3 linked regions of the Coturnix japonica genome follow. The main gene of each other region encodes a partner of the protein of the gene in region 2 in a complex. Links are inferred from orthologs where the notes say so. Each region holds a gene or a part of one and is shown on either strand. Other genes may lie near its edges. The genes, in order: PIGC, DPM2 and DPM3.

The links.
Region 1: DPM2 (region 2) and PIGC share a complex: the UniProt entries of both Homo sapiens proteins name them as parts of the glycosylphosphatidylinositol-N-acetylglucosaminyltransferase (GPI-GnT) complex. The link is inferred for Coturnix japonica from reciprocal best matches to the Homo sapiens genes DPM2 and PIGC.
Region 3: DPM2 (region 2) and DPM3 share a complex: the UniProt entries of both Homo sapiens proteins name them as parts of the dolichol-phosphate mannose (DPM) synthase complex. The link is inferred for Coturnix japonica from reciprocal best matches to the Homo sapiens genes DPM2 and DPM3.

The regions. Positions count from the first base shown.
Region 1 is NC_029523.1:7,059,317-7,062,474, forward strand, and holds PIGC (phosphatidylinositol N-acetylglucosaminyltransferase subunit C), read right to left. Parts: upstream 2,306-3,158; 5' UTR 1,978-2,305; intron 1,686-1,977; 5' UTR 1,609-1,685; coding exon 715-1,608; 3' UTR 613-714; downstream 1-612. UniProt on the Homo sapiens protein: Part of the glycosylphosphatidylinositol-N-acetylglucosaminyltransferase (GPI-GnT) complex that catalyzes the transfer of N-acetylglucosamine from UDP-N-acetylglucosamine to phosphatidylinositol and participates in the first step of GPI biosynthesis.
Region 2 is NC_029532.1:3,618,157-3,621,902, reverse strand, and holds DPM2 (dolichol phosphate-mannose biosynthesis regulatory protein), read right to left. Parts: upstream 2,440-3,746; 5' UTR 2,342-2,439; coding exon 2,339-2,341; intron 2,237-2,338; coding exon 2,147-2,236; intron 1,514-2,146; coding exon 1,411-1,513; intron 1,147-1,410; coding exon 1,088-1,146; 3' UTR 447-1,087; downstream 1-446. UniProt on the Homo sapiens protein: Regulates the biosynthesis of dolichol phosphate-mannose. Regulatory subunit of the dolichol-phosphate mannose (DPM) synthase complex; essential for the ER localization and stable expression of DPM1.
Region 3 is NW_015439963.1:35,698-38,645, reverse strand, and holds DPM3 (dolichol-phosphate mannosyltransferase subunit 3), read right to left. Parts: upstream 2,022-2,948; 5' UTR 1,769-2,021; intron 922-1,768; 5' UTR 916-921; coding exon 628-915; 3' UTR 609-627; downstream 1-608. UniProt on the Homo sapiens protein: Stabilizer subunit of the dolichol-phosphate mannose (DPM) synthase complex; tethers catalytic subunit DPM1 to the endoplasmic reticulum.

The sequences.
Region 1 (3,158 bases), on a different chromosome or scaffold from region 2:
CCTCCAGAGCAGGAGGGATCTGACTCACTCTGTCTTTCACTTTGAAAGGAGCAGTGCTTCCTCTTATCTTAACGCTAGGGATAAATACTGCAGGAATGAGCAGCTGTGGTCCCACAGTCTGCAGAGATGCTGCTGTATGCGGATGGACATGGCAGTGTGGCTGTGCATGCAAGATATGTGTGAGTGTACTCAGGTCTGTGAGTGCCCCTGAATTCCGGCCTCCTGCCCAGCACCAGGAAGGCTCTGGTGAGACCAAAAAGCCTGGGGTGCTGCAACTTTGGCCAAGTTCATGCTCTGCTGAACCACTTGCCTCTGGAAAACAACAGCACAGCAGGGCTGGCTCATCTGGAGATGCCCTCCAGTTTGACTTTTTGGCTTAGAGGACCCTCTGTTGTGGGGTGCATGGAATCAGACACTGGACTGTTCCAGGAAGGACCAGCATGGCTCCCATTACAGCTGCAGCACCCTGCGGCTGGGCGGCCACCACAGGAAAGCAGAGAGACTTTGCTTTGTGCCTCTGGTTCGGTGGCTGGACAAAAATACTGCCATGGGTCTGCCAGCACCTCCCTGCTCACCCACAGCCCAGCGCAGTCACAACACACACAGATGCACTCCCTGCTAGAGCGCGAGTCTTTATTGGATTAGGTGTCCCCTTGGAGCTGTGTCCCAAAGAGGCCCCTCACAGCAGAGGGCACTGCTTCCCCCTGGCCAGGCCTACATGAGGAACCTGGACAGGTCCTCCTTGATTTCAGCCTCATCCCACGGCCCGTGGATGTTGTCCTTGAGCAGCTGGAGCCGGATGAGGCAATAAGGGCAGAGGCAGGAGATGGAGAGCAGCAGTGAGGCAAAGAGCACAGCACCCACGCTGGAGACGCTCGCCAGCCCCACAAGGGCCAGCAGTGCGAACAGCACCGTCACCCCCACGTAGCAGTACGGTGTCTGGGCCTTCAGCTTCTTCTGCAGCATGGGCCAGAGGGCGAAGATCTGCATGGCGAAGGTGACCATGACGAAGGTGTGGAGGGAGCGAGGCAGGCGGGAGGCCAGGCACACCGAGGCAAAGATGGCCATGTTGAGGGACAGCGTGCTGGACACGATGGCGGCGTTGGCACCGTAGTTGAAGAATATGAGGTGGCCGAGGAGCATGAAGGCTGACATGGCATAGATGGTGTCTGTGCTGATGGACTCTGTCAGCGTCTTCAGCACCGGTGAGAAGCCGTAGGTGAAGGCAGTGAACACCAGCGTGCTTTTCAGGTCTGCCCACCGCGTCCGCCCGCTCTCCTGCCGCCCGACCCCGGCGTCGATGGCATCAAAGAGGATGTAGCCAAGCAGAGAAGTGAGCAGGGCCGCCCCAAACAGCCCCTGCGGGCTCAGCACCCCGGCGTCCATGTACCACCAGGTCACAACGAAGACGCACACGCTGCAGAGCTGCTGCACCACCACCCCCGACTCGAAGACCACATTCCAGTACTGGTACTGCCGGGCGTGGATGTTCTTCCGCAGCTCTTCCAGGAACCGCTGGTCCACGTAGTTATCGGGGAAGGGCTGCCGCTCGTACAGCACCTTCTGCCAGCACCGCCTCGGGCTCGTCTCTACCTGCGCACAGACCATCCTCCCAGGGCCGGCCCAGAGGAGGCCGGCACAGCGCCCCGCTCCTCCGCTCACAGCCTGGGGCTGCTCTCAGGGCCCTGGGAAAGAGCGAGGTGCGGGTTAACCGCGATGTGAGCTCCAGCCGCGAGGACGGGGCGCACCCCCCCCTCCCCGCTCCCAACCCGCCGCCCCGCTCCCCGCTCCCGCCGCTTCCGCCGGGCCCGGCGCGGCGCAATGGACGCCGGGGCTCTCGGAGCCGCCCCCTGGCGGAGCTGCCCGGCCGCACAGCGCGGCGCTGCCCGCGGGTGTCGCTGCCTCCGGGGCCGGAGCCGGTAGGAGAAGGGCCGGGAGTGGCGGTGTGCGGGCAGGTGACTGTAATCGGTCTCGTACTTGTTGGGGAATAAGGTCGCTTCCGAGCCGACAACATGTAGTTAACTCTTCGGGGTGAGCCGGGAGCGATGGGCTCCCCCTGCCACCCATCGTGCACTGACGCTGCTTCCTGCTCGCGTTCCTCTCGGCTCACCGCCCACTGCTGCCTGCAGCTGCATCACAGCACGATGGGGCGCCTGCCCCTGGGACTGCTGTGAGTGACCGCAGCGCCTCGGCAATGGGGAGATGCGGCACCTATTGCTGCCATGGTGCATTCGTGCCCCGCTGGACAACTCTCTGCCCGAGGTCTAAAGGGCAGCTCAGCCCTCCAGGTCTCCTAGGCTCTGCGGGGAATGAATCACCTGCACAGCAGACCTGTGACTATGGGACCGGCCACGTCACCGCCTGTCCCTGCCAGTCGAGGGAACACGTGCTGTGCAGTCACCCCTCAGCCCACCCGAGGTGACGTGGCCTTGGCAGGGACAGCAGAGCAGCTGGGAGAGGGACGGTCCGTCACACCCGAGTGGTGCCTGAGGTCAAGGATGAGAACTGCTTCGTGTGTGTCTTCATCCCATGCAACAAGATCTCCCTCACCAGCTGCAGGGGTGGGATGTGGACCCCAGACTGGCCCAGCCCTCATACAGTGAAACACTGGGTGCTGCTACCCATGCTACCCATCCTGCCCCACAGTCAGCACTGTGAAGCACTTGTTGCCATAACCTCAGCTCTGGGGGACCTGACTGCTTCCCCACCCACCCCACCTGCATTTCAGACCCACTCAGAGCTCACTGCTCGCCAGTGTGTTGCACAACTGACCCCACTGCAGACGTGTTTATTTCCTGCAGGGCTCCTGCGCTGCAATATGCTGCTAAAAGCTGTTTGGAAGCCATGCTGGAAAAGGTGACAGGCTGGGATTTAAATAGCTGTGACTGATCTAGGCCTCTGCTGGAGGTGTTTGAATACCAAAGGATTCAGAGCTCCTGGGTTGCCAAACTCCCCTGGCAGCCATGATGAGAGAAGAACAAGGTGGAACTGCTGGGATTCTCAGTCAGCTTGAGGGCAAGGGACAACTGGTTCCTGTTCTGTAGATGTCTGTGCAGTGATGGTGGTGGGAAAGCTTTTGCTTTTTCATTAGCTTTTCTTTATGATTTTTTTTTTTTCTTTTGCAGTCCCTAGGAAATTGCCTCCAAGAATGATGCCAA
Region 2 (3,746 bases):
GGGATCCACACACACACAGCACAGGGCTGCATTCCATGGCTGCAGACCCCACAATGTGCCTGGGCTGGGGGCACAGCGCTGTGTGCTGAGAAGGAATTCATGCTCAGAGCCGTGACCTTCAGCTGGAGCAGCCACCTCCCATCACAGCAACAGGGATATTTATAGGGGCGCTGCCCTTTGCAGCATAGCAGCCTGTGCTCATCCCACACCAGGAGCTGGATGCACAACTGGGGCCCTGTGGCAGCCCTGGGCAGGCAGCGGGAGCTGCCCCCTCCTGTATTTCTCCAGGAATAAAGCTCTGCACAGCTGCAATTGGGACAGGGTGATGGACTGGCCCTAGAAATCAAGGTCCTTCAGTACAATGGGGGGCTGTGTTCCCTGCAGGGGTGAGGGGTGGCTGGGGAATGAGGCTGGAGCTGCAGCTCTGCACTTGACATGGAAGAACAAAGAGCTCAGAGAACTTTATTGAGGATGAATGCAGCTCACTATAGCCACCAGGAGCTCAGGGCTGACCCAGTGCAGGCAGGAGCCCAGACTGCAGCTGACATTCATTGGTAAGGGAGCTAAATGCTTCCTCTGCCACCCAGGTCATGCTGCATCCTCAGTGGGGTGACTGTAGGAGGGGAGGTGGGTGCAGCTCACAGGGCCCTCATCAGAAACGAGAGCTCACAGCACCATCATTAGCTCTTCCAGTTTAAAAGAAAATCCCAGAAGGAATAAACTACCGTATGCAGCAAAGAGGGGAAAGAGTATCCAGAGGCCGAGCAGCTGCTGGGGGCCAGAACTGAACTCACACTCTGCAATTAGAGCTGCTGGATCCCAGCCCAGCAAAGCTGCTGCACGTAGTCTCAGCTGGGGTGCACATTTGTCCAGCTGGAGCTCTGGTCCCTCTCCTGGTGAGTCCCACGGGTCAGATTTGCTTCCCTTTAGTCTGTAAGTTGTAAACTACACAAGTCTGTGTCTTTTGAGGAAGGAATGTGGGAGAAAGAGCAGCCACTTGGCACTGCTGCTGCTTTGAGTGCTCTGGAGGAGGAGGCTGCTTGGTGCTGCAGGCTGGGGGCCTTCTCTCCATCTCTCAGCTGGGCCTTCAGTCTGATTTCCGGGCAGGTTTTCTGCTCTTCCACATCACAACCATTATAAAAACACCTACCAGGAATGAGAGAGAACAGACTCAACCCGAAAATTTCAAATGAAAAGCACCATTAAAACACACACAGCGAATAATGGAACCTCAGCAGAGCACAAGAAACAGTTCTAATTCTCATAGGAATAAACAGCTGAAGTTACACGTGTGTGCGCACAAACGCCTGTGCCAAATTAAGCCACTGCAGGGACCACATACAGCACAAGTGTCTCTTTTCTCTTCCTAATTTAGAAGCCTCTAATTAGAGCGACCAGAATAATACTCACCTATAAATAGCAGCAGCAGCAGCCCAGCCACCACGGGGATGATAACGGCGTACTCCCTGGGCAAGAAGTATTGGTGGATGCTGTGCTCACTGTCAATGAAGGGCTGCAGAAACAGAGCAGGGGATTAACAACATGAGAGCAAGTCACCAACACGTGCAGCTGTGGGGTTTCAAAAGCAGAACAGAAACATGGGGCTGGAGGGGACGGCTAAAAAAAGAGTGTCTGAACCTGCAGGTGGTGGAGAATCACAGAATGACCCGGGTTGGAAGGGACCTCAAGGATCATGTAGTTCCAACCCCCTGCCTGACAGGGCCACCAAACATACGCCTTTACTAGATCAGGTTGCCCAGGGCCCCGTCCAAACTGGCCTTGAACACCTCCAAGGACGGGGCATCCACAACCTCCCTGGGCAGCCTGTTCCAGGGCCTCACCACTCTCCTAGTGCAGAACTTCCCCCTGACATCCAACCTCTGTCACATGGATCCTTTCATGGCTGGGACACTTTGGATGCTACAGTGCATTGCAATGACTCCTGCACTGTATGAACCCGACCCTACAGCTGGGAGCACATCAAGGGGGGGAACCCAAGTCCTCCAGCAGCAGCAGGTTTGAGCCCAGTTCCCTCCATAGAGGAGCATTGAGTGGAGCACCGAGTGCACACCCAGCTCCTGCAGCTCCTAAACGAGGCCTGCAGGCCCGACCATCCCAGGGCCCAAACCCAGCGCCATCCCCTCACCAGCACGATGATCCACAGCGTGTAGTACACGAACAGCACGAGGCTGAAGGCCACCAAACCGAACCCGACCGCCTGGTCCGTCGCTGTAGCCTGTAAAGGGACAGAGAGTCAGGGCTGCAGACAGTCAGGGCTCCGTGTGGGCGGCAGGGCCGGGTACAGACGGGACGGGCCGTAGGCCGCAGCCTCACTCACCATGGCGACGGCCACCACACGGCACTTCCGCCCTCCCCGTTCTTCCGGGAGCGATCGACCAACCAGCGAGCAGAACACTGGCCACGTGTTCTCCGAAACAGGAAGAGCGCTCAGAGCGCAAAGTATTGTGGGAAGGGCTTAAGAGCGCAAAGCATTGTGGGAAAGCACGAGTCACCCGGTGCATGATGGGAATTGTAGTTCCCGAGGTGCTCGGAAGAGCTGCGGGGCCTAGTGGTGAGGCCTACAGCAATTAGTCGATATTTAGGGCAAAAATACCCCAATTGTGAGAACCATGCAGCAATTAGCCGATATTTGGGGCAAAAAACACCCATTTGTGAGAACTATGCAGCAATTAGCTGATATTTAGGGCAAAAAAACCCCATTTGTGAGAGCCCTGCAGCAATTAGCCGATATTTAGGGTAAAAAATGCTGCAGGGCTCTCACAACTGGGGTAATTAGCTGATATTTAGGGCAACCCCCCCCCATAAAATACTTAGAACCACAAAAAGACCACAACCAAACCAGGAAAATCGGTGTGAAGTACCAAAAAAACAACCTTTATTTCCCCCGAACCCAATAAACAACGTCTGCCATGATATTGATTTCCTCATATATTTGTTATTTCTCTACGTTAGGAACCAGATACAGAAGATACAAACACGGCCTGTTGGATCGATGACGGCACAGCGGCCTGACAAGAAACAAGACCCAAACCAGACAGAAATGGTGCAAAACAAGCCCTGCCCGCCAGCCCCGAGCTGCCACCATCACCATTACACACAGCAGTGGAGCAGCGTTTCTTTCTAAACACCTTTTTGCTTTAAGAAAGGAAAGAAAAAGTTAAAGAGATTTATTAAGATTTCAAAGTAAAAACCAACCGACCAACTCAGAGCCCACCACCATTACTTTGCTCTCTTCTAACGATGGTGGATGTTTGCATAGAGCCGTTCCCTTTCCAAAAATATCAGCCATCTCTCTATAGAATCTGATATAAATCGAGTTTCCAAACGTCACCCGGCTCAACAACCCTCACGAAAATAAAGCAGGATCTCCCCTTCCCTCCCCCCCACCACAAAAATACGGGCTCTGCCATTTAATCCTTAGGGTTGAGGCAAAGTGAATAGGCTCAGCCACACCTCGAGCTCGAAGCTTTACCCCATGTTCCTCTCATCCCCCATCAGCCCATTGGGAGGAAAAGGGGGGGATAAATCTACATGGACCCCCCCCCAATGCATCCAGGAAGTGGTTTTGCAGCACAAACACTTGCTACCAGGCAGTGTTTGCTGTAACTCACCCCTGGGGACCAGCCTTGTCCACAGGGCTCAGTCACCAGGGTATTATTCAGCTAAAGCACAGGAGGGGTGAGGGAAGGGCTGAGGGGGGTGGGGGGTGAGTTTGCAGCCCCCAG
Region 3 (2,948 bases), on a different chromosome or scaffold from region 2:
AACCCCACATTGAGAACCCTATAGAGGGAACCCCACAATAGGAGCCTCACAATGGGAACCCCACAATGAGGACCCTATAGAGGGAACCCCACAATAGGAACCTCACAAGGGGAACCCCACAATGAGGACCCTATAAGGGGACCCCACAATGGGAACTCCATAATGGGAACCTCACAAGGGGAACCCTATAGAGGGAACCTCACAATGGGAACCCTACAGGGAGAACCCCATAGTGGGAAGCCCACAATGGGAACCCCACATTGAGAACCCTATAGAGGGAACCCCATATTGAGAACCCTATAGAGGGAACCCCACAATGTGGGCCCCACAATGGTAACCCCATAATGGGAACCTCACAATGGGAATCCTACAGAGAGAACCCCGTAGTGGGAAGCCCACAATGGGAACCTCACAATGGGGACCCTATAGAGGGAACCCTATAGAGGGAACCCCACAACGGGAGCCCTACAGAGGGAACCTCACAATGGGAACCCCTCAATGAGAACCCTATAGAGAGAAACCCACAAAGGGAACCTTATAGAGGGGACCCCAGAGCAGCCGTGACCCACATCCCCCCCTCCCCCTTTATGCCCCCCATCAGGACACGCTCAGCCCCATCCTGGCCCTTTATTGCGGGTTGAGGTCCATCCCCCGTAGCCGCAGGTCGGCCCTGGCCATGGCGATGTGACCCCTCAGCTCGGCCGCCGCCTCCGGGCAGTCATTGAACGTGGCCACACGGAAACCAACGGCGGCCAACGAGAAACAACCTGAGACGACCAGCAGGTAAATGGGGAGAGGGAGCAGGACCTGCCGGACCGGCACCGGGAGCTGCGGGCTGAACGGGGCCAGAACCAGAGCGACCCAACAGGAGCCCAACAGGGCCAGGACGAGCAGCCACTGAGCCAGCTTGGTCATGGCGGCCTGCGGGGAGATGGGGACGGGGTCAGGAGGTGGTTGTGGTGGGAGAGAGCGGCTCTGGGCAATGCTGGGCCAGGCCCAGGCCCCACTAGGCCCAATAGGCTCCACTAGGCCCCACTAGGCCCCGCTAGGCTCCACTAGGCCCCACCAGGCGGCTCCACTAGGCCCCACCAGGCTCCACTAGGCCCCACTAGGCCCCGCTAGGCTCCACTAGGCCCCACCAGGCTCCACTAGGCCCCACCAGGCCCCACTAGGCCTCACTAGACCCCACTAGGCTCCACCAGGCCCCGCTAGGCCCCACTAGGCCCCACCAGGCCCCACCAGACCCCACCAGGCTCCACCAGACCCCACCAGGCCCCACTAGACCCCACCAGGCCCCACTAGGCCCCACCAGGCCCCAGGTCCAGCCTGGCCCTACCAGGCCCCACGCCCAAGCTCAAGCCCAGGCCCAAACCCAGCCAGGCCCCATGTCCAGCCAGGCTTCAACTCAGGGCCAGGCTCAGATCCCTCCAGGCCCTACCAGGCCCCAGGTCCAGGGTCAGCCAGGCCCCACCAGGCCCCACCAGGCCCCACGCCCAAGCTCAAGCCCAGGCCCAAACCCCACCAGGCCCTAAGTCCGGCCAGGCCTCAACTCAGGGCCAGGCTCAGACCCCACCAGGCCCCAGCTCCACCAGACCCCACCGGGCCCCACTAGGCCCCAGGTCCAGCCAGGCCCTACCAGGCCCCAAACCCAAGCTCAAACCCAGGCCCCAAGTCCAGCCAGGCCTCAACTCAGGGCCAGGCTCAGACCCCCCCAGGCCCCATACCCCAGCTCAGGCCCAGGCCCAGGCCCCCCCAGGCCCAACCCCACCTTCACTCCTCCAAACGCGGCGCTCTCTCCTGCCGTCGCGTCGTGACGTCACTAGAGCGCGCCGCGCGGGGGACGCTGGGAGTTGCAGTACGGCAGCACAGCTCCACGTGGGTTGACGCATGCGCCTTCCGCTTCCGGTCCGGCAGGAAACACGCCGCTCTTTGTCCTCCGTTTCCGGTCAATCCGGAAGCAGCCGGCTTCCTCCTTTCCGGTGTGTGACAGCCCGGCGTGGGAACAGGCCCGGAGTGTGTTCCCACGGCCTGGAGCCCATAAACCCCAACAGAACCACAACCACGGACCGGGGGGGGCCGCCACGACCCCTACGACCCCCCCCCTTGCGCCTCCATGTCCCCCTTTATTTCCCTTCCCCCCCCCCCCACCCACTTCCTCTCCTATTCCCCCCCCCTCCCCCCCTTATTTCCTTTACCCCCCCTTTACCTCCCCATTTCCCCCTTCCTTCCTTCCCTTGCCCTTCCCGTTCCCCCCTTTACTTCCCTGCTCCCCCTTATTTCCCTCCCCCCTTTTCCCCCCTTCCCCATCTTATTCCCTTTCCCCTCCCATCTTCCGCTTCTTCCCCCCCCTTCCTCCTCTTCGATCGCCCCTCCCCCCTTACTCTCCCTCCCCCCACCCCCTTATTTCCCTTTCCCTCCCCCCCATCCCCCCCCTCTTCCCCCTTCTGTCCCCACCTTACCTTCGCTTTCCTCCCCTTCGTTCCTCCCTTCTTCCCTCCCCTTTCCCCCCTTTACTTGCCTTTTCCCCCCCTTCCCTCCTTCTTCCCCCCCTATTTCCCTAACCCCCCCCATTTTCCTCCCCTTCCCCATCTTATTTCCCTCTTCCCCTCGCCAGTCTTCCCTTCTTCCCCCCCCTTCCTCCTCTTTCTCCCCCCTCCCCCCCACCCCCTTATTTCCCTTTCCCCTTTCCCCCCTTTCCTCTTCCCCCCTTTCTTCCCCTCACCTCCTTTTCTCCCCTTCTTCCTCCCTTCTTCCCTTTCCCTCTTCCCCCGCTTACTTCCCTTTACCCCCCTCTCTCCCCCCCTTCCCCTTTCCCCCCGTCCTTATCCCCCCCTTCTCCCCCCTACTTCCCTACCCCCCCTTCACCCCTTCCTTCCCCCTTGCTTCCTCCCCCCCCCACATTTCCCCCCTTACTTCCCCCCTTCCCCCCCTTTCCTCTCTTACTTCCT